3 linked regions of the Tamandua tetradactyla genome follow. The protein of the gene in region 2 interacts with the protein of the main gene of each other region in a pairwise test. Links are inferred from orthologs where the notes say so. Each region holds a gene or a part of one and is shown on either strand. Other genes may lie near its edges. The genes, in order: TMSB10, ALAS1 and ZMAT1.

Region 1 (7,016 bases), on a different chromosome or scaffold from region 2:
TCCTATTTCTATTAGGAAGTTATGCACAGGTTCAAATAATATGGATTGAGCATCTATAATATGTCAAGCGCTTGCATGAGGTCCTAAGGATACAATGGTGAAAAGACAGATGAAGTCTCCTGTTTCCTAGTGCAAGAGCTGAACAATAAACAAAGAAATGAATGTATAACATGCCTGTTAGAGATATATTCTAAGAATAAAAATGAAACAAGGAGAAGGGTTTGGTTAATGGACCAAGAGGCTCCATATCTATCCTTATCAGCTTCCCCTCATTACATTTCGTCCATTTCTCCACTGGATTCAGCTTGCTCTGGGGCTTATGAGTTGTATCCTCCCCAATGCCAACAGATGAGATTCTGTCTACATCCCCATTCAAGTTCCTGATGAAAAGCATCACATCGGGCAGGTCTGAGAGACAGAGACCCACAGTAAACCCCCAGAGGCCCTCCCCACCCAGCTGGACAGTCACGGAGCCTCCCTTATTAGCGCTACATTGTCCAGAGTATCCTTCTCAAGAGAGAAGATGGAAATGTAACTGGAGTTGAGTGGCTCAGCCTTCTTTGTGCCATCTGCGAGCAGTATACAATCTGTTCTCGGTAGTAGGCCAAGACGGTGTCAGACAGAAATGCCACCCCACGTCATGAGTAAACACAACCACAGGCATGACAGTTACCAACTGACGCAGAGTCATTTGTCTGCGACTCGAGACTCACGGGCTCCCCTCCACTCTCGGCATCCTCTCAAAGCAGGCCACAGGGCCTCCGATAAATATGAGCGTTATGTAAGATACAGAGGACCTGAGACCTGGCACCACGAGGCTATGATTTTTCCATCACATAGTGTTGCCATTATCTGATGTTGTGTGACAAAATGCCCAACACGTAGTGCCTTAAAACAACCACCACATTTATTTTGTCCATGAGTGTGCTATTTGGGCAGGGACAGTTTCTTGACTTCCTTTGGCAACAGTGGGGCACTTTGAAGCTCCAGAAGCTGGCTCCCTTGCATGACTCTGGTGGATGCTAGCTGCTGGCTCTGATCTCAACTGAGGCTGTGGCTGGAACACCCGGATGTACCCTTTCCTGCATGGAGGCATGCTGCAAGAGAAAGCCAGGCAGAAGCTGCATGGCCGTTACGACCTACCCTCCTAAGTCATGAAGCATCATTTCTGCCTCATTTCATTCCCTAAAGATGAAGGCAAAGTCTATATTAACAGATGATGGGAGGAGGGTCAAGGACCTGTGCAGGAGTTTTAAACTTCTACCCATAGGACATATAGATTTGACTGGCATTCTTAAGCAATAAGTGCCAAATAGGCTGCCCACTTTCGGAGAGATGGACCACAGGCTGTGTTGAGGGAAAAATGAGGAATAATTTCAACACCAGTTAAAGCTCCTCTGTGTGGGAATCCTGCATACTTGCTACATTTGAAACATGTTTCTCCATCACTGCATTTAAAAGAACGATTCTGTTTTCCAAATAAAGGGAAGCTGGAATTGGAGTTCACCGTGAGTCCATGAGATTTCTGCCCCAAGAATAATAAGTTTATTGTTCAGTGTAACTGAAGGACCATCCCAAATCACTCGACATTCAGGAAGATTGAATATTCCTCCTGGGGCCAAAGGTGAGGGCCAGGAAGGAAATGCCTAAAAAATGCATGACACTGCATCCCAACGGCAATCAAGTGCCAATGAAATCCTCCAAAAAGTCTCTAGGTGTCCTGATATTTTCATGTTCAAGTTTGGCAGATCCTTCAACGGATACAGCAGTCTCTTCCCAGTTCACCCAATCTCCACTTTTTTTTCTCCTAGACACACAACTAGACTACATTTCCCACCCACCTTTGAAGTTAGGTTAGACCAGGTGACTGAGTCCTGGCCAAAGTCAAGGGCAGAAGAGATGGAAACCACGTCCAAGCCTGGACCAAGAAAATCCCAGGAGTTCTCCACCCTCTCCTCTTTCCCCATCCACTGACTGGGTAGAGTGGACTTCAAGGACCTAGAAAAGGACAAAGTCAAAGACAGGAGGGTCCTGGGTACCCGAATTGCCAGATGGATTCCAGGATTCCAGCACAGATGTGGATGCACAAGCGGGAAGTACACTTTTTTTGCATTAAGCCACTTTGGGGCTGTTTATTACTGTTGTTTGCCTACCCTGGCTGTGAAATTGAATCACTGTTCAGGAAATAATCACTTCCCTCCCCCTCCCACCATGGAGGCAATATTTTTCTCCACCCCTTTGATGTTGGGCTTGGCTATATCACCTGCTTTGGTCAATAGAATGTCAGCTAGCAAAGCCTAAATTGTGTTTACACACACAACAACAACTTCTACCCTCTTGGCCTGAAGCTATCCTGCTGTTCTCCCATCACCCTGAGAGGAACGTGCCCCAGCTACCCCCTGGTCCAAAGGCGATGAGAGACTGTGGAGTGGACCTGGGACCAACCACAAGCTGGGAACCAAGCCCAGTCTAATGCAGGCCAGCACCAGATGACCTGCAGATGTATGACAAGAAAAGGTGGTTATTGCCTTAAGCCACTGAGTTTGGGGGTAGTTTGTTGCACAGCATTTTTTGGTAGCAGTAGTTGACCAATACACAAAGTGGGGGTGTGACATTCTGACAGGGCTGCCTAGCTTAACTTACACTTGATGCCTATTGTTCATTTCATTCAGGTTTTACGCCAACCCTATTCTCCAGATGAAGAAACTGCATGGGGAGAAAGGACTTGACCAAGGCACACAAGGAGTTGGCTGTGCCAAACTGATAAGCCTAAGCTTTTCTCCCACTGTTACAAACGCGGACATATGTGAGAAAAGCAAATAAAATCAGGAAAGGAATGTACAGAATTTAGAATGTTTACACCGAATCCCCTTTAACTGAGCTTGGTAATAGGCCTTCCTATTTGAAAACTGAAAGTTCAGGACAAAGAAATAATGTGACCAGCTTCACCCAATAGGTTGTTAGTTTCTGGAACTTATAACTTAAAGATGGTGCACAGGCTAAAAATTTTTCTAAGAAAGATTTTAATAATTGCAAAATACCATTCCTACAAGTGGTTAATAAGAAAAGCAAGAACGTTTAAAGGGATATGGGTCTCCAGCATCTTTAGGGTTAACTTCAAGAGGGAAAATAGCACCCTCTGACACAATGTTCCTAGTAGCCCTGGGAGTAAAAGAACACCAGGAGCTCTCGATACTTCGCATTCCGCCCACTTCCCTCAGACAATGCTTGTGGCAAGCACTCACGGGGCACAACCCCGGTTCCTGCAGGATAGGGGGACGACCCCAAGAGGGCATTTAGCCTCCCAACGTGAGAAAACAGCACTGGGCATTTATCAGTATACCCCCTCTTTGCTGTGGGGACCCTCGGCTTGGGCTCTGAGAGCTGGTGAGTGTAAACCAGCAGAGGCCAGGGACCCGGGGAATGGCACAGGGGTGGGGTGTCTCCTGCCAGCGGGGATTGCTGCAGAGAGCGCGTGTACACCCGAACACTCGCAACTACACACACGCACACACACGCCCTTTTTGTGCGGTGAGCAGCAGATTCCTGGAAAGGGTGGGTGCAGCCCCCAAAGGAAGCCCGGGGGCCTTGGCTAGAGGGGCGCCAGCAGCCTTCAGGCCCTCGGGCGAAAGGAGGCCGCGCCCCACCTCCCGGGAGCCCCACGCGCCCCCGCCCCTCGGGTGCCAGCACCGCCCCCGCTGCGGCGGGCGCGGGGCGGGGCGCGCGCGGCCTATATAAGGCGTGGGGCGGGCGCCACTCTTTTGTCTCCGGCTGCAGCAGTGCAAGTGGTAGCACCGGGAGTCCCGGCTGGAGCTAGGTGCTGCGGTGAGCGGTGCGCGGGGGCAGGGGCTCCACCCGGGTGGGGCCGGGTCACCCGGCGGGCGTCCCCCTTCCGACAGGACCCAGAGGGTTGGCTGGCACCCGGAGTGGGGGGTGGGGGTGGGATGCGCCCACGCTCGCGGCCCTGGAGCTTCGGGCAACGCCCCGGCGGAAGCGCCACGTCTGGAGGCGCCGAGCCAACCGCCGGGGTGTGCCCGCCAGGATCTTTTGGAGAAAATGGCAGACAAGCCGGACATGGGGGAAATCGCCAGCTTCGATAAGGCCAAACTGAAGAAGACGGAGACGCAGGAGAAGAACACCCTGCCGACCAAAGAGAGTGAGTGTCTGCCCGCCTCCCGCTGCACGAGCCCGCAGTACCCCCCCCCCCACCCCGGCCCGCCCTTCCTCGGCCCCCGCCCTGCCCAGGTGTCCTTCCTCTCCCACAAAGCGGCCTAAGCTTCTCTCTTAACCTCATGGGTGTCTCGCCCACCCCAGATTTGTAAGCGGCGTGGTGAGGGAATGGAGGGTGCCGGGTGTTCCCATCCCCCCTCCATGCACGCTTCCGGCTCTCCCCAGCCATCGAGCAGGAGAAGCAGAGTGAAATCTCCTAGAGCCGAGAGGAGCCCCCACCCCCGTCATCTCCGAGGCCCCAGTGGCGAGGTGGCGGAAGAGCCACCTGCAAAGCTGGACGCGAGATGGACGCGAGCGACAAGCTGCACTGTGAACCCGGGCACGCCCCGCCGACGCCACCGGCCGGGGGGGTCTCTCGGAGGACCCCCCAATCGGACTGCCAAATTCTCCGGTTTGCCCTGGGATGTTACGGAAAATTATGTGTGTGATTGGTGAAAATAAAAGACACCTCGTGGCGTGGCTGGCGTAGTCCGAATCGCTTCGTTGAGCATACCGGGGGCGCGCGGCTGCAGCAGAACTCCAGGCGCTGGAGTCGAGGTTCCTGCCGCAGGGGGGGAGGGGCACGCGAATGGGGGGCCCTGGGGGGTGGTAGTTCTTCAGTTTGGACTCTACCTGCATTTCCAGAAGATTTCGCGGGATATTAGCTGCCTAGCTCGTGCTGGTAATGCCGTCCCGTATAAACTTTCACCTCACTCTAATTCTTGGAAGTCGCACTGAAAAATGCGTTTTCAAAGGAGCAGAATTCGTTTCTGCTAAGCTTTACAGTCGTACTGCTTCTCTCCGGGTTCCTCCTAGCGCTGATGGACACCAGGAGAAGACAAGTCATTTAAAGTCTAGGAAAAAAAGGGCGGGGGAGACTATCTAGAATGGCCACCAGTTCTCCAACAGGCCTTTTCTTGGAGCTGGGAAGCGGTGGCATCAGAACAAAAACAAAGACGGGATCTGGGGAAGCCGCAGCGCAGAAATAAGAATTCGAACCCTGGGGACAGGCTCGCTTTTTGTCTCAAGCCTAGCTCGAAACCTTAAGCAAAAACAGTGGGAGTGCCGGGCGGAGCAGAAATCTCCCCCTCCCCCTCCCCGTTACGTCCCCAAGACCCAGGGGAAAAGGGAGGGACCAGCCAAGGGGGCCTAGGGAAGGTCCGGCCTGGGGGCCTTAAGGGCAGAAAGAACAGACCTGTGACTCCAGGGGTGGGGTTTCCTTTCAGGACGGGGGAGAGGAGGGCAGTTGCCGGCCCACTAAATGGCCGGGAGCGACTGTGGGTGATAGGAATGCGATTCGAGCCAGTCCACAAGGAACTACAAATCCAGTGGGTGAGACAACCACAGCAGACCAAAATTGGGAACATAGGGCGAGGGGGCCACTGCTGGTTTGCCTAAAGTGACTGGACAGCAAGATCCGCACTGTGGAGAGAGGCTGGGTCTGGGGAGGGGGAGTGAGGAACACTAACATTCCAGGGCCCAGAGCTGCCAGGCTAGGAACTTTAACTCAGCAGCACAATTAGGTAGGGTGATTCACCCCATTTTACAAATGGGGGAAACTGAGGCTTCAGGCAGTGAAGGGAGTCCATGAGTAGGAGCCAGGGTTGAGGGTTAAGCGTGCGCTCTGAGGGATGCTACGACCCCCCTGTCTGCGGGGTCATTTCATGAGTGCCCCACCAAGGTGCACGTCGTAGAAGATCCTCCTGAGAGGTTAAATTTTTAAAAAGAGGAAGATATCACTTCTGCTTTCAAACAGTAATGAGAGTATGGCTGCTGGTGAAACAGGTCTTGGAGAAAAATACAGCTGGTTAGGGCGTCAGTGCCCAAGTATGTGAGGGATAGGTAGCGCAATTGCAGTTTTGAATCGGGCGGTCAGGGAGGACCCCTGGAAGAAAAGGCCTTTGAGCAAAGACCCGAAGGATGCAGGAGAGGACTCTTGGCGCCCGGGAGCACTGGGTGGAGCGGGTTGCTGGCCGCAGGAGCGGCTAGTGCAAAAGCCTCGAACTGAGAAGGCGTCTGAGGTGTGTGAAGAAGACCCAGGAGCCCTCCGGCAGGAGTGGCGCGAGCACGGGGCTGGGAGGCGAGGTGTGGGAGGGCAGGCGACGGCGGAAGCAGAGCTGGAGACTAGGGCAGGGCTCAGGACTGAAGGGCTCCTCCTCGCGCCCCCCCAGGGACACTCGGGCCCTGCCTGGGCTCGCCACGCCCAACGCCTCTTCCAGCTCCCGCCTCCTGCCCGGGACTGCGTCTGGGGCTCAAATAGCAGCCGGTCTTCCCGCGTATCCCCGCAATCTCCTCTGGGGGCCCCCCGACCCGCGCTTGTCCGGGAGAGCAGCCACAGAGCCCTGCTTCCGGGCCCCCGCTTCCTTTCACGCCGTTCTCAGGCCCTCCCCAGGAAATCCGCCATCTGAGGTGCTGGGGTGCCGAGGAGAGCCCTGCCCTTCCTACGAATCTAAGACAAGAATGAGGAGACTGCCGACTGTCTGTCTTGCTTTCCCACTCTCGAGGCTGGCCGAAGGGGGGCAGGGCACAGGAGGAAGGCGGCAGCGGAAGGGCGTGTCTACCACACAACCCTTCTCTCACTACCGCGGGTTTACGCGGGAACGCCGGCCGCCCACCCTACTCGGGTCGCTCCGGAGCGCACAAGCGACCAGCCCAGAGCCCCAGTGTCAAAGACAGGAAGGGCCCCGCCCAAGGAACTGCGCATGCGCGGAGGGGCCAGCCTGCCGAAACCCCGCCTCCTTCCGGGTGATTGATCCGGCGCGCAAGGGAATCTCAGAAGGCTTCGTGATGGAGGCGGCCGCAGTACG
Region 2 (8,353 bases):
CAGCTTGGGCATCCAAAGATCAGCACTTAATGCAGTAACACAACTGCTTTTTTTTTTTTTTTTTTTTACCTTTTATCCCATCAGATGATGGGAAAGAAACAAAGGGCAATTAACAGCAGTTCTCAACTACAGAGTATTTCAGAAATTAAATGGCTACTTTAAAAGCTGGTCACCTCCTACACACCAGAAAGAAAGTCCCACATTTTGCAACACAGTCTGACTGTCCATTTTGAGGACCTTTCTCCTTGGCTTTAAAAGAGGAAGGTGTTTACACAAACATTGCCTAATAACAGCTAATATACAAACCTGAGGGTCCAAAGAGCTAAACGGACTTCTTCATTTTTCCTAATGGTTCGTTTCTTATCTGTTTACCTTTTCTCACGGCATGCATTTCCTGCACATCCTCTTGAAGCTCTAAACTGGCTTTGCGGAAGACACTGCTGCTCCGCTGACTCATCTGGGCTGCCAGGAAAGGGCATTTGCTTGCAGTACCCTGGCTTGTGGCAGAGGAAGGATGTCCAGATAGAAGCTGTGTCCCATGTGGAGTCTGCTGGGATCCATCAGGAGCCTGCTGAACCTCAGCTTTGGCAGTTTTGTCCTCTGAGTGGGGAACAAGAAAAAGTGAACCATCAGTTCTGGTTGCACAGCACACAAAAAACCACTTGCTTCTCTTATAGCTTTAAAGATAAAGTTTATACTTACTCTACCCCAATCCAAGTACAAGTTTATTTTTATTAGGTTCTGTTAATCAAATTATTTTCTCATCTGCCTCAATGGAAACAATGCTCTTATGAAGAGTTAAGTGGTACATTTCAGCTACCTTTCAAATCTACAGTATTTCTCACTTATAAATCCAAAAAGTAACATTTTCTAGTTCTAGACAACCCAAAGTTCTTGAATTGAAGAATTCCAGTAAATTCATAGCATATTTCATGAGAAACATAAGTGGACAAACTCTCCAAGGTAACTGGTAATATTCATGCAAACTTATCTCTGCTAATATTTTCTAAAGATTCTTGACAAAGAAGCCTAACGTTGCTTAACATGTAAACTAATGTTATTCTTCTAAATGAAACTACAACTAAATTCTTTAGATTGCTGTCTAATAGACAACAATTAAATTATTAGTATACTTGGGAAAAAAACAATGGAAGAATCACATTTACACACCTCATCTACTTTTTCATCTAATGCATCAAAGAAGTCCACTGACTTAACAGTCAGCTGGTAACTATGCTTCTAGTCACGACTTCCTTGTCCCTTTGAGCAAATTAGTTCACTTTCTAGAAAAGTATTTCATCATCAATTCTGGAATAGTCCTGTGAATCCGAGGCTAGCCTTTCCTACAACTTGGGAAAGGTATCTCAGTATGGTATTCATTAAAATCTTCTATAAAGGAAAGCCAAAAAAAAAATTACTTTGAAGTTCCCTTCCCCCCATTATAAACATAATACATATTATAGAAAGACTAAAGAAGAGTCTTATCATTTAAACATAATCAAAACAAACATTTTAGTATATCATGTTTTTAAAAATATATGTACGGATTTTAAAGACAGTTTTTACTTGTACTTTATATACTTATTCCACCCTTTTCATTATATAGACCTGCCTAAGCTAGTAAATAGTTTGTGAATATCATTTATGTTGGTTGCATAGTAGTCTTTCAATAGAACAAGCCACATTTTACTCAATTAGTCCTCTCCACTACTAGGGACAGAATGGTAAGAGGATTTTGATTGTTCGGTAAAAAAGACATAACTCCTGAGCGATAGTACAGAGGGAAATAAATCCTACAACTATTACCTTTCTACTTAAAGGAAAAAAATAATTCTCACAAGTCCACACCCAGAGAACACACCTAAGAGAAGCCTGTAAAGTAAGATATTCTTGAGGATTAAGTGAAATCTGAAAAGCCTCAATCCCCTCCTGGTAGAGCCAGACTGATCTCTTTATTTTTTTATATTTATTGAGAAATTTTCACACACATACAGTCCAAACATGGTGTACAATCCATGGCTCACAATATCATCTCATAGTTGTGTATTCATCACTATGATCACTTTTAGAACACTTGCATCACTCCAGAAAAAGAAATACAGTCCATACCCCTTACCCCTTACCCCTCCCTCTCATTGACCACTAGGTATTTCAATCTACCCAATTTTTTACCCTTATCTGCCCTCATATTTTTAATTTTTATCCACATTTTTTTATTCATCTCCCCATATCCTGAATAAAAGGCACATCACACACAAGAATTTCACAATCACATTGCAAAAGCTGTACCATTATACAATTTTTTTCAAGGATCAAGATTACTGGAACACAGCTCAACAATTTCAGGTACTTCCCTCCAGCCACTCCAATACACCATAAACTAAAAAGGGATATTTACATATTGCGTAAGAATAACCTCCAGGATAACCTCTTGACTCTGAAATCTCTCAGCCACTGAGACTTTATTTTGTCTCATTTCTCTCTTCCCCCTTTTGGTCAAGAAGGCTTTCTCAATCCCATGATGCCGGGGCCCAGCTCATCCCAGGAGTCCTGTTCCACACTCCCAGGGAGCTTTATACTCCTGGGAGTCATATCCCACGAGGGATGAGAGCAGTGAGTTCACCTGCTGAGTTGGCTTAGCGAGAGAGGCCACATCTGACCAACATAAGAGGTTCTCTGGGGGTGACTCTTAGGTATAACTATAAATAGGTTCAGCTTCTCCATGCAAGACAGACTGATCTTTTTATTAAAACAAAACAAAAAAAAATTATATACAAAATAAAGATAGATATCATTTTAAATATTACTGAAACTCCAAAAGACACTGAGATAAGTGATTCAGAATTCTGCTAACCTAGAAAGCTGGGCAAAGTTTCACCTTTATAGATGGGAAAGCTAAAAATGACTACCTTGTGAGGTTAGGACGACAATTACAAGAAATAATCCACACAAAGCACTGAGCTTGGACAGTGTAACTCCTCTGTTATTGTGAACCTCACCAACAGTGTGGAATGTAACTGCTTCTAGTCAAGTATGTGTGAAAACACCACCACCCCCAACTCGGCTGCCAAAATGACACTTACTCTTGTTGGCTGGAGGGGTTTCTTCGACCTGCTGGCAGCATACTGTTGAAGTGGACAAAGCCCGAGAGGCTGGCTTAGCTCCAACTTCCATCATCTTAGGGCAGTTTTGGGCATAGAACAACAGAGATTTGCCTGCCTTCTGCAGAAAGGTCTGGGGCACTCGGGACAGAAATGGGCAGCGACGAACAACAGTCTCCATGTCCGAGAGGTACACTGACTCCTGGAGAAAGAATGATGATAAGTGGCATCAACACTTGTTAATAATTAGGCAAATCCCACTGCAAGGTCACTGGGGGTCAGCTCACCTGCAGCTCTTGGCAAGGTACCCTGGGATACTAACAAGTCTGGCTCAAAACTGTCTAAGGATAGCACTGATTGGGACTTATCCATGCGCTGGTGACCACATTCTACCCAGGCCACTAACTTCTGCATTCTCCAGCTCTCTACAAAAGCACCTTCATCGCAACCTAACAAATTGATACTGACAATTAATAACCAAGGGGGTGGGAGGATGCAGGATAAGCAGGAACTGGTTTGGGAACAGAGAAGCTCCTTGAAGGAGATGCCCAGTGCAGAGAAGACACCTTGGCACACACCAAGGTGGAAAACTTTGTCTAGGGAAGGAGCCACTGTAGTCCATCCACGTAAGGGAGGCTCGGCGGAGGCAAGAAGGTATGGATTCTTAAAGATCTCGAAACTTTCCAGGTCCTCACAGCCCTAAATCGGAGGAAGACACCATGGACAACCCTGGGGCTGTGAGGCAAGGATTTTTCCGAGCTCATATTCCTATAGCTTGATGAACAGGGAATTGAATAAAAGGGCGCACAAAGAAGAGTAGGGGTTAGCGGAGACGCGCCGATAGGGCTAACTAGGGAGGGGCAGGAGCTGTAAACCCAGTGTGCTAGGTCTGGCGCTTGGAAGCGGTCCCAGGGGGCTGCGGGCTATTTACCCCGGGTCGTGGGCTTAAGAATAACGGTAGGAGACGGAAGGGGGGTAAGAAATGAATTCTAAAGAAGCCGGTTAAATGGAAATGCCCGAGGGGTCTATTGGGGGAACTGAGGCGGCAGGAGGTCTGGGGGATGAAGGCTGAGCCCGAGGCGGCGGGTGGGGGGATGGGGTTCCAATAGCCGGGGAATCGGAGCCCGGGCCGGCAGGACACTCGGAGGCTGTCCCCGGCCGACCTCGCTCCCAGAAGCCGGGCCTTTACCTGCACGGGTAACTGTGGAGGTGGTTGCTGCGGCGGCGGCGGCGGCGGTGACTGCGGCGGCAGGGACCCAAGCCAAGAAACGCAGCCAAAGATTTGCCCTTGTCAGCGAGAAGCCTCAGGCCGGAGGGCGGTCGCCCTAATATAGAGCGGGAATGACCGCTGCGCATGCGCCTTGGGCGCGGATTCTCTGCGCAGGCGCTCGGCGTGGAGTTTCCGGAGGTAAGAGGCCCGACGCGATGGGCGGGGAGGCTGGTCTTGGAGGCGGTGGCGACAGGGGCTCGGCGGGGGCCGAGGGAGTTGAGGCTTTCCATCCTAGCCTTCCTGGTTGGAATCTGTTTCTCGAACTTCACCTTGCACCCCCTTACCGCTCTCCACTGACTCCCCTGTACTTCAAAACCCTACGTCCCTGTTGTGGGGCATAAAATGCCACGGGCCTGAGGGGAAGTGCCCCTGGAGTCAACTGGGGATTAGAGAACTGTTAAAATGGGTACTTTGGGCATGGAGGGAGGAGGCGCAAAAGGGGGTCCAGTCCAGGGTCTTAAGTAGGATCTGCCCCACCTGGGACTTAATAGCAGGGCTGTGAAAGAAGACTTCCTGAAGGAGGTGGCACTGGAATGGCCAAGGATGGAGTGGTGCTCTGGGCCGGGATGGGGAGGGAGTTGGTACGTGGGTGAAGACTTTGGAGTGAGGAGGAAGGAACAGAAAGAAAGGTCAAGCCGTGGCACTCTCTGGTATGAGATGAAGGGACTTAAGTCATGAGCAGAGAAGGGACAGAAGAAACAAGACTAGATAGAACCCATCCACTCCACAGCTGTAACTCAGTACTTATGGGAAGGGGGCGGGATCACAGGGCCTGACAGAGTTAGAGTTTGACATATATTAGATATGTTACTTTTATGTTCAATTGGGGACTGCCCAAAATCCCTTGCTGACCACCCTGGGCACCAGCTGAGTGGCTCAACACTCCATCTCAGAGTTCAGAGTTGGGCTGTGCCTCCTCCAAGTCTCCCCTAGACCACGCCTGCGGGGGAAGGGCTTGGCAAACCCCCCTCAGGAATGTCAACCTGGTTTCCTTGCTCCATATCTCTTCTGGCGTCAGTTAGGCTGGGTTGGGCTTGTGCCAGGCTCAGAGCTACCCTCCCCCACTCTTGGAAAGGAGCCATCCAGGTTGATCTCTCTCCATCTGGGCACTGATAAGAGGAGTGAAATCCAGAGCTGTGGTAACCAAAGTTAGTCCAGGTACTTCCCAGCTCCTTCACTTAGCCTATAGCTAGCTGTAAGACAGGTGAGGCGAGCCTCCAGCTGCAGAGGAGGCACCTGGGTCCAGAACAGCACTGGGACCAGTCCAGGGGCTTAGAATGAGAGCTTTGGCTTGGGAGTTTAAGGCCCAGCCTGCCCTGTCCTGCTGAGGGGCCCTAGGCTGTGCCCAGTGGCCACAGAGGAGGGAGAGAAAAAACAGTAAAAGTCAGTGCCTGGACTCAAATCCAAGTGCAGATAGAAGTAGGAACAGGTCAAGGATGGCCTTGAGTGCTTTGCCCATATCTGGGCCTCACTTTCCTTGTCTGGGCAATAGAATGATGACTTTGTTATGCCTGCCTCACAGAACTGTTTGGGTGATCAGAGGCAAAGCAGAAGCAGAAAGAACCGGACAGTGGAGCAGGACACATATTCCAAGCCTGGCTCTAAATCTTACATGACTGTAGCCATGGGCAGGCCACAATCTCCCAGAGTCTTGGTTTCCTCATTTGTAAAGCTCTCCCAGTCCTGCCACTTGTGGTTGGCAAGAGGGTTAGGTGAAGTCATGGATTTCAGAGGCTCATTGTTAAACCAACAAGTCTCCAGCCCTCTGGGAGTTTCCTGTTTAATAAAGGGAAAGGTTGGGAAATAAGTCAGCTCACAAAGAAAGTGAAATAGAATGATCTAAACAATTCCAGATGGAGGAGTAGGGTGTTACTCCAACAGGCTCTGAAGGAGGGGTTTCCCGACCACCAAGCAGGCTCCCAGAGGAGAAGCAGGTACTGGTTGGAAGGCTGAGTCTACATGAGACATGGAGTCTAGTGAGCGAAGCCTTGAATGGGGAGGGCCCAGGCCTGGGGTGGGGGTGGGGTGGGGGCAGCATGAGTCAGTCCCAACGGCTGCGCTCCGCTCCGAGGGTGCAGCCAGGATATGGAGCCAGGAGGTAAAAAAGGAAAAGCTGAAAACAAGACAACCACGGGTCTTCCCAGTGTCAGCTCAAAAAACTACTACAAGGGCACAGCTTAAAATGCAGATTATTTTAGCCACCCCTTTTGATTCTATCCCAGAAATCTGTATTTTAACCAGGCCTCCTTCTTGGTGAAGCAAGTGTAGGATGAGCCTGTCGGGGGTCACATTTTGGGGACATGCTACCTGAGTGGTTTCCAGTTTGAGACCTGGAAGGGCAAAGGCTAAAGCCATGAGTTCTAATCTTGGCTCTGCCATCTTATGATTCTGTGATCTTGGCAAATTACACCATGCCCTTAGCCCCAGATTTTGCATCTGTGAAGTAGGAGTTATCCTGTCTGCCTCAATGGAGAGCCTGGGTGGGGCCCTTTCCTTCCTCCCTACCCTTCCCCCTTCTCCGGCCTTCCCTCTTCCCTTCCTCTTTTCTTCCCTCCTTTTTCCCTCTCACCTTGCATTCAGCCTCAGAACTGCAATATAAACCTGCCTTATCACCCTGGCCCTGGGTAGGGGCACCTAGGCCGTTGGAGTCCAGGCAAGGTCAGCCCCTATCCTGGGATGACGCTGGGGCCTGGCCTCTCTGCTCCTTCTCCCTTAGTGCGTCACCACCACAGTCAGGTTGCTGAACGCAGAACCCCCCCAGCGGTCAAGGCAGAAGGAAAACATCAGTCCTGGCCCTGAAATTCACCCCTTCCCACGCTGGGAGCTATTTTTAGCAGAGCCCCTCTGTGAGAGCCAAGTAGCTGAGACCTTGGGCAAGCTGACTGCTTTCCTCTGGCCCTCAGTTTCTCCGTATGTCAGACAGGCAAGAAATCCTGCCAGCCTTCCCCTTCAGGATACCCAAGTAGAAATGGGAAAGTCTTAAAAGACAGATAAAACTTCCAACCTGTGCTGCTGACTCTTGGTGTGACCTTGGGCCGGTGCTGCTCCTTGGGGTGTTGGTTCCATCTGTAAAGGTGGGTGGCCAGCACCCCACCCCCACCCCTCCACAGAGTGGCTAGAGGTTCTGGAAACAGCTCAGCGCTACCCTAGAGGGTTGGAGTCATCATGAGCTCCAGGATTAACCATGGCAGTGCCAGGAGTCATCATGTTGGATGGAACCCGGAGGGTGGGCAGGGCAGGAGAGTTGTGGGGTCCCAATATATGTCTTATCCTGGCCCTACCTTTGGAATGCCCTCAGGCTCTGGTCGGTCTAGAGCAGCCTGGGAGGGGCAGGGCAGGCTTGGGTCTAGATTGGTGTAACCAACTGCTGGAGCAAGGGATGGGCTCTGGTTGTTGAGGGGAGAATTGGGAAGAAGTGGAGGAAAGTCATCAAGTGCTCCAACAAGCAGGTCTGGGGTGGATACCCAGGGAACAGTCCCCCACCCCCACCTCCACCCCCAATCCTGGAGGGCAGAAAGTACCCAGAGAGCAAACACTGTCTTCCCTCACGGAAAGCCCCATGAGGCCCTCCAGTCTAGCATCCATAAACTGTGGCCCAGACATGTTCTCTGTCCTTACACTGCTTTTTTTGAAATGGGAATTAGTTGTCAACATGTAACAATCAGGAGATGTCTCATCAGAAATCAGATTTCCAGCTTCCCTTGAGGAATCAGCAGGCCTGGAGGCTCTGGGCTGTCTCAGGCAGGACCTGTTCCTTCCATTTCCCTATTGGCCCTGCCTTTAGTGCATCCCTGACCCTGAAGACAGATGATGTCCCGCAATGACACCTGCCTGGCCCTCTGGGCATCTGAGTGTAAGTCACCTGCCCTGCCCCATTTCAGAGCCAGGGAGACTAAGACCCAGGGAGGGGAGAGGACTTGCCCAAGGTCACACAGCAAGTGAGAGTTGGGGTGCTGTGGGACCTAGGGATCCTTTTCTGGTC
Region 3 (8,353 bases), on a different chromosome or scaffold from region 2:
TCTTTTAAAGGATTCCAGTAAACTAATCAAGATACACCTAGAATGGGTGGAGGCATATCTCCACCTAATGTAAGATCACACTCACAATTGAGTGAGTCACAATTCCATGGAGATAATCTAATCAAAAGTTTCTGCCTAGGGCAATGGTAAATCAGTGGCAGAGTTCTCGCCTGCCATGCTGGAGATCCGGCCTGCTCATGTAAAAAAAAAAATTTCAGCCCTACAATATTGAATTAGGATTAAAAGAAAAGACTCTCCCACAAGATTGAATCATGATTAAAACCTGGATTTTTGGGGGTACATAATATTTTCAAACGGGCACAAATACCTAGTACACTTTCTCTTTTACTGACTGACCCTTGAGTGATACACACTCTCCCAGAGATCCTGCTGCAAGAGTCTTTATGTAAGTGGAGTATGTTTCATATTTTGAGAAACAATGCTGTTGAGGGATTCTCCTGCACCCCCAATACAGGAAGGAATAAAATTATATTCCTTTTTTATTCTTACCTTGCCCTATTGACTATTTCAGCAGAACATTTCTTGTGCCTGGTCCACCCAGTAGTTTATTTGATCAGTGAAAGTTGCACTAATTTACAGAAGGACAAGATGGAGATTAGAGAAACCACCAACTGCCTCAGTTAATATTGGGCATATTACTGAGCTACAAAAATAACATAAACATGTGTTCTTAAAAGCCCAACACTCCAAACCTCTGAGTTTTCTGTTCAGCTTCAGCCAATTATTACCATTCAGAAATGCAAGCTCCGACCATAATGCAAAATCTTCAGAATTTTTTAAGAGTTTTTTTTTTTTTTTGCATCATATGCCCCTTTCTAAAGTTGACAAGAAAGTAAATAATTGTTTTGTGGGCTGGATGTAGCTTAGGGACCACTGGTGTGCTGCACTGTGCTGGAGCATGAGGAATCAATCAAAAGGAAACCTCTGCTTTGTCTCAAAACATCCCTAGGTTATTGAGGAGAGAGGTACAAAGTACAATTCATTACAATACTAACATGAACAAGATATAGTTGTAGCACAGAGGACGGTGGGATTAACAATAAGCAAGGACATAACAGGATACCCTGAAGAGGTGCTGCCTGCACTTCAAAGGGTGTGTAGGAGTTCGTTAGGCTGGTACCTAATGTGGGAGAAAATTGTAGGAAGAAGAAACATTTACGATAACATTAAGGCATGAAATAGATGGTATTCAGAGGAAAATTTAAGAAAATTTCATGTGTTGAGTCATAAAGTAAAAACAGACTCAAGAGATGGGAGCAGTGAGAGAGATGAGCTTAAGGAAGTGGGGGGAATGCTATTAGTGCCAAATTGTGTCAATGACTTTATCCAACAAGCAATGGAGACAGTGATGAACAGCAGCAACATGGGAATAGATCATAGTGATTGAAACCAGAGAAAGAGTGACTGGTGGTGCAGATGTCATAATTCTGACAAGAGATGATGAGGACTTGAAGTAAGAATGGAAGTGAGACCAGAAAGGACAGAATACCCAAATGAAATTTTTATACAGGTGTACCAGGAAAATGTCCATCAACAAGGAAATGGACAGGATATTGTAGAGCCTTGACAATGAATGAACTACAGCTATATGGCAAAAAAAGCATTAATCTTAGAAACAAAAGGTGGAGCAAAAGAAACAAGTCACAGTATGCTACCTAGAAAAAGATAGATGTTTTTGTAAAATTTGAAAACAAAGCTAAACAACATTGTTTAGGTGTACACATATCTCGTAAGTATACATGTAAAAAGTGCAAGGAAATAAACATAAATCAGGATACTGGGATCTTCCTGGGACAGCAATGGTAAGAAAATTTAAATTATCAGTAACATTCTAGTTTTGTTGGGTACTGGATTCAGAAGTGTTTATTGTATCATAGATGGGTAAAGTGATAGATAAGCAATCCTTTATGGACAAATGATGGCAATGTATCATGAACCTAGGGGTCTACCTAACTGTATGCTATGTGTCCAAGCTATAAGAGGAAACAATATTTTAGGAATATTTTGGAGGTGGAATCAATAGGTTTCTTGAGGTTTTATTTTTTCTTAAATTCGTTTTAGATTAACTCCTACAAGGGAACAGGCCTCACTTTATGAGGCCCACGTGCTTTAACATCCCGCGCTTTTTACCCTTTGCCCTTGGCCATCTTCGCTTCCCCTCCAAAGGGACGCAGGGTGACGCCAAGAGTGGGGGAGGGGAAGAAGGCGGCTTGTGTGTCTAAAGCTTTCCGATTGGTGGACAGAAGGAGCGAGACCAAGGCTAGAGCTAAGAAAAAAGGGGCGAAAGGGGCGGGGCTAAATAGAAGGCGGGGCTAAGGGAACTGAACCGGAGCGAGGCGCCAGTGCAATTGTCCGCCCTCGCTGCGATGGCGGCGGCGCCGAACACGGTCACCCCGCTGGCGACAGGGTCTTCCCCTCAGGAAGCTACCGTCTCTGCCGCCTCCTCCTCCTCCTACACCGCCTCCGCGGCGGCGGCGGCGGCGGCGGTGGCAGCAGTTGTGCCTGCCTCCTCCGCCACCTCCACCCCTGCCTGCCCGCCTGCCAGTGGCTGTGGCGACGGCAGCGGTTTTGGCGGCTCCACTATGGCGGCGGCGGGGAGGGGGGGCAGTAGTTTTAAAGTAGACACCCACCCTTGCCTCAGAGAAGGTGAGTTCACGTCCTGGGGTGCGGGCGCGGCCCCATCCACGTCGCTGCCTCTTTGCAGTTGGTCCGAGATTGGGCTGGGCGCGGTTTGCCACTGCCCCACCCCCCACCTGCTGTGGCGCAGTAAAGGCCAAGCTCGCCCCGCCCCGCCCCATAAACCCCGAGTGTGTAAGATGGACTGAAGCATAGGGGGGCTTCCTTACCTCTATCCCCCGCAAACGATGGGGGCCCCAGGAAAAGGAGCTGCAGGTATTCACAAGACAGGAGTTGAAGGGAGAGAATAATACCACAGAATTTCTCTCAGTCACGACGCCTTAGTATGTTAAAGGAAGCTGAGGGAGTGATTTGGATTAAGAGAGGAGCCAAGGTAAAAGTGTGGTGGGTCAGGGAAAGGGAAAAGGGCTGATGTAGGAAGGACAGAGGAAAGGTAAAAAAGCCGAAGAAACAGGAGGGAGGAAACCTCTTCCTGGTGAAATTCAACATCTTGCAGGGTAGCGATCTGCAGTAGATATTTTAAGGAGATACGGGGTTAGGAATTTGGGGAGGTTAAAGTGTATACTTGAGCTTTGAAGTAAGATCTCTTGAAGTTCAGGATCTTAGGGTCCGGTGGAGAGAGCTCAAATGTAGAAAGGAGGAAGAGTGTGGCAGAAGCACACATTTCAGGAATCACTGAAAGTTTTCCTAGGCTGTTTGAGAGTGTGTCCTTGTAAAGCAAGGTTCACAGGCCCATCTTTAAGGTGGTGTGGGTTTTAATAAGTGCTGTTTTACCTACCACCACACATTACTCCTAACATAAAAAAGCTATTTATTGACTATCTCAATGGTTGTGTTTAGTTTACACAAAGTACTATATAATTGGAAACAGCCTACTAATAGCAAGTTGTAAATTATACCACTAAAATGTGTTTTAAAGTAGTTTTTGAAATGCTTATTAGGTGATGGAAGCATTCTGCCATCGTAAATTTCATCCTTAATTTCCAGTATTTGCTGTTTTACCTTGTTGCTACTTGCCTAAAAAGTCAGACCATGGACCCCCGAATGGGGTAGAATAATTTAAGTTCCTTTTTCTTAGAGGGATACCTCATTAAAATAATCCATAAAAATAATTTTCTCTTCACATTCTTAGATTTATCTTTGTGTGTTATTCCATGAGCTTTCATGCCTTTCACTTTGGAGGAATGGCAAAGCAGTAAAAACAAGCCCTTACAATAATGTAATAGGCACAATACATAAATCCCACTTACTAAAAATGGAGGTTAGAAATACACTGTAATATGTTTTATTAACTCTCCTACTGAAGACAGCCTTTGAAAGACTCTAGTTTCTTCTGTCAGATTGCTGATCTGGATTTGTACTATTGCTCTGGGATAAAGCCATGAAATCTGGAATATTGCTGATCTGTAACGAGCAGGTATGCCAGAGCAGTCCTGTAGGTGTCAAGACCATAATTCAAGTTGGTTCTCATGGCCTTTTCATAGTGAGGTTTAGGAGTAGTATCTCATGGGAAAAAAATGGCATTTTTTCCTGACTGCAGCTGGTTTGGTTGCAATTATCTCTCAATATATGCAAATATTACAGGCTTTGTAAACTCGTAAAGTAGCAGAAAAATGCCATCTATAGTATCAATAGGTGGGAAAATGAGGAGAGCACTGGAGTAGGAGTTGAATGCATCAAACGGAGGTTCTGTGGCTAATATGGTAACCATTAGAATGTGTGAACCTGAACATATCTCAAGATTCCTGCATTTGTGTTTGAAATTTTTGAAATAGAGGAACTGGACTAGCTAAACTGGGTGGTGGATTTCAAACCTGAGAGTATGAACCATAACTTAGAAATTCTGAGTTCTCTCTATGGCATTTCCATGGCTGTGCGCTAGAATATTATTAATTCACAGACCTCAAGAAACCTTGGCTGACATTCAGTGAGTAATGAAATTTGTGTTGAGACAATTCGCTAGCACTTCATAAAATATAATTTACTAAAAAATTATATCATTTCATTTTAGGTAAATATCCTTCATTAACTGTTGAGTCCAAATCAAAATCTCTCTTACTTATTCACTTGATAAATGGTAAATGTTTTATATATTGCACTGTCCAAAACACTGCCAGTCCTCAAAATATTTTTGTTTGGATATTTGTAAAGTAGTTGGTAGCTGTGATAGTAGATAAAGGAAAAGAGGAAAATGTTGCTTGGTGATTTCTCAATATATTTTGCTTACTTTTTTTTAATTCTTAGTTAGAGATTGCTCTAAAATGGGTCAGAATTGTCAAAATTCCAGTTACTGAAAGTCCACTCCTGATAGGATCATGCAAAGTTGTTTGAAAAAGCATTTGCTGATCCATTTTCAGCTGTAGGTTACACTACTGAGGATCTGTCATCTGACCTACGCTTGATAATGAGCAAACTTCAGTAGAGTTTAAAATTTGTTAAACAGGAAAGAATAGAAACTCTCAAAGGTTACAAATAGAAACTTGAGCAATAAACTCAAAAACAAAAGCAAACTAAAGAAATGTCCACATGAAAAGACACACACATCCAGAATTCATGGTAAGGGAAGTCATGAGATTTTGTAGAACACTGTAATTCATTCAGTGACGATTTTCAAAACTATTTAATGGCTCAAAAATGAATTTTTGCCCAGTAATCATCATCTGGTGTAATCATAGTAGAAATCAAAGCAAAAATAAGTAAGAATCCTCTTGCTTATTTACCTCTTATAATTGAGGAAAAAAATTATTAAATGGTTTCTCTTTTTCAGTGGAGGGCATTTCTGCCTTTTTATGTAATCATTCCTCCATTTGCATAGGAATTTCCTAGTAATACTTTCGCTTGTTTCCCTATTATTATATAATGTTTTACATCAATGGCAATAAGCCCATCATAAGAAAACCTAGTTAATAGCATTTCTTTCATTTATTCAGGAATAATTTATTGAGCACCTGTATATGTATGTGCCAAGCCTTTTGCTCAGTGCTGAGGATATACAGACAAATTAGACACAGCCTTAGTAAGATTATAAAATAGATGGGGAAAATGCAGTTTTAAATGTTAAGACTAGGTAAACTTCTGAACTATCTAGAATGTCCCATCTGTTATAACTCTGTTCTCAGCTCATGGCATCTTAATACTACAGGCACATTAAAGCACAACATATTGTGAATCTCATGTTGATATCTGGGAAGAATAACTAGCAAACTATTAGAACTGATTTTAATTGTATGCATCTGGCAGGTGGGGGGATGTCCGGAGAGAGATTAATGATCATTTATTAGTCTCTCCCATACTCTGTTTTCAGTAAGTGTCAATAGGTGAAAATATTGACTAAAATTGTTAAAAAAAAAAAAAAACCCAACCTAAGCATGTCCCCTACTAAATTCATCATACATCTGTTAGGATAGGAACTTTGATTCTTTCCGCCTTAAAACTGGCCTTGCCAGTCCATTCATACTTATTAACATGTTGAAGGAATGGCAGGTATTTGGCGGCTTTCTGATACAAAGTAGCTGTGAGAGGATCCAGTAGATTAATGGATTTACAGAGAGCCTTAATTCTTAAATTCTAAAGTTTCAAGTATACCTGGAGCTCACTAGCCACAGAATGCTTATGATAATGAAGGTGGAGGACTTAGTTTAAATAAAGACAAATATTAAACATATAACTATTATGCCCAATTGGTTGTTTCATTAATTCCATTGCATTTTTTAGTTGTTGATATGCCATAGGAAACCCATCATTATTTTTTTGATAATGGTATTAGTGTAAAATTTCTAAACCTTGCCAGGCTTCTCATATAGGACAGGTACTGATCTCATAACCTGAAAAAGTAAAGACATTAGCTAACATTTTAGCTATGTGTTCATAGTGCTGAAGGGTACAAATCTGCATTTCTAGCATAATTAAGATCTCAGAAAACTCTGTAAATGGGCTGCGACTTTTAGAGAAGAGAGTTAAAACCTTTGGCAAGGTTATCAGCATGAAGCAGTTTCCTAATCTCTTGTAATTTAGTGCTGTGCTCTGCTCATTCTTTCCTAAGATTATGATGGTATTAAAAGATTGCAAAGGTCGAGTCAACTTTTTCTCCCCCCAAATTTCTTTTTAACCAAGAATGTTTGAGGGAGATTTTCTCTAAAGGTGTGATCAGGGAGAACATGTACATATGCTCTTTGCACAATTGAAATGATAATTACTCAAATTCCTTAATGTCTAAGTCTGTGACTAGAGAGTGAGATGTTTGTTTGCTGTATTGCAGCTAACCTTTCTGAGATTATCTCCACTCTTGTCCTTTATTAAAATAAAATATACAGAGTTTTTCTTACAATGCATCAAAATCAGTTGGACTGTGAAATTCCCACTTTAGGAAGGCATTTAAAACAGCTAATAATACGTTCTTGCCATAAAGAATTTATGATGGATTGTCTTGAGGAATTTTGGGGTTTTGTACATAAGTTTAATTGTCATTTAACAAATGCAAGTAAGATACATTTTATTAAATGTAGCTAGTTATATCTAAAGTTGAGCCACCTAATTTGAATAAGCTTGAACTTCTTATCAGGGTAACCAAACAACATTCAATTGGAGTAAACAGAGAGATAAACTTCTCTTACCTCAAACTGAAGAAATGTGTTAATTTTCTGGTTACTTTCCTCAAAGATCTAGTACAATCTTTGATTCCATAAACTGGAGTCAACCAAATTGTAGGCACAGATGCATTATTCTTTTCGGAGTAAGTCCATAAATGTTTTCCATTTGCCACAAAAATCTAATTCATCCTAATTTGCTCGTGTTATCTAGTGCTATTAATTAGGAGAAAGTTTCAAATATGCTAATTTGGCTTTCATACTGAATTGCATTTTTGGATGCAGAACTTAATTGTATTTTAATTTAGCATAATAGTACAGCTGTTTGGAGCAGGCCCATTCTAACAAAAGTTGCTAGAAATTGAATTTTTGTCAAGTGAATCCTCTTTGCTTTTTATGTAATTGAAGACATAATTTTGCTACAAGCTGAATGGAATATTTTTGTACCGACATAGAGGATTGTAGTAATGCCCAGGCCCATTGAATGTGAGTTGTTTGTACTCATATTTGCATTTCACTGACTTGAGACCATCCTTCTTATATTGTCTCTTCCCAGACTACTGTGATTTTGTTCATACTCCAAATCCACCTTAATCTAGAATCATACCTTTTAAAATTTTATCTCCCCTAAACCATTTTATCTCCCCTAAACCGTTTGTTTCCTATAACTTCTCTGGACCTTAGCTTCTTCATTTATGAAATAAGAACATTCAGTTAGATCAGTTGTGTGCTCGCTTCAGCAGCACATATACTAAAATTGAAACAATACAGAGAAGATTAGCATGGCCCCTGCGCAAGGATGATACGCGAATTCGTGACGCGTTCCATATTTAGAAAAAAAAGAAAATAAAAAAGAAATTAGATCGGTTGTTCTAGACTAGAGGCAATTTTGCCCCCGGGGGGACATTTGGCAATGTCTGGAGACAGTTTTGGTTGTCACAACTGGGGAATGCTACTGGCATCTAGTGGGTATAAGCCAGGGATACTGCTAAATGTGCTACAATGTGTAGGACAGCCCCTCACAACAAAGAGTTATCTGGCCCAAAATGACACTAGTGTCGAGGTTGAGAAATCATGGACTAAATAATCTCTAGAATAATCCTGGTCTG

The links.
Region 1: the proteins of ALAS1 (region 2) and TMSB10 interact in binary tests that used the Homo sapiens proteins (3 or more experiments, as listed by UniProt). The two-hybrid records come from large-scale screens. The link is inferred for Tamandua tetradactyla from reciprocal best matches to the Homo sapiens genes ALAS1 and TMSB10.
Region 3: the proteins of ALAS1 (region 2) and ZMAT1 interact in a two-hybrid assay, tested with the Homo sapiens proteins (2 studies listed by BioGRID). The two-hybrid records come from large-scale screens. The link is inferred for Tamandua tetradactyla from reciprocal best matches to the Homo sapiens genes ALAS1 and ZMAT1.

Annotation. Positions count from the first base shown.
Region 1 is NC_135343.1:59,132,886-59,139,901, forward strand, and holds TMSB10 (thymosin beta-10), read left to right. Parts: upstream 1-3,729; 5' UTR 3,730-3,825; exon of another isoform or gene 3,826-3,832; intron 3,833-4,041; 5' UTR 4,042-4,056; coding exon 4,057-4,156; intron 4,157-4,395; coding exon 4,396-4,430; 3' UTR 4,431-4,691; downstream 4,692-7,016. UniProt on the Homo sapiens protein: Plays an important role in the organization of the cytoskeleton. Binds to and sequesters actin monomers (G actin) and therefore inhibits actin polymerization.
Region 2 is NC_135341.1:33,668,345-33,676,697, forward strand, and holds the start of ALAS1 (5-aminolevulinate synthase, non-specific, mitochondrial), read right to left. Parts: upstream 4,404-8,353; 5' UTR 4,291-4,403; intron 3,315-4,290; exon of another isoform or gene 3,304-3,314; 5' UTR 3,283-3,303; coding exon 3,084-3,282; intron 601-3,083; coding exon 373-600; intron 1-372.
Region 3 is NC_135353.1:71,474,167-71,482,519, forward strand, and holds the start of ZMAT1 (zinc finger matrin-type protein 1), read left to right. Parts: upstream 1-2,343; 5' UTR 2,344-2,387; coding exon 2,388-2,667; intron 2,668-7,971; exon of another isoform or gene 7,972-8,078; intron 8,079-8,353.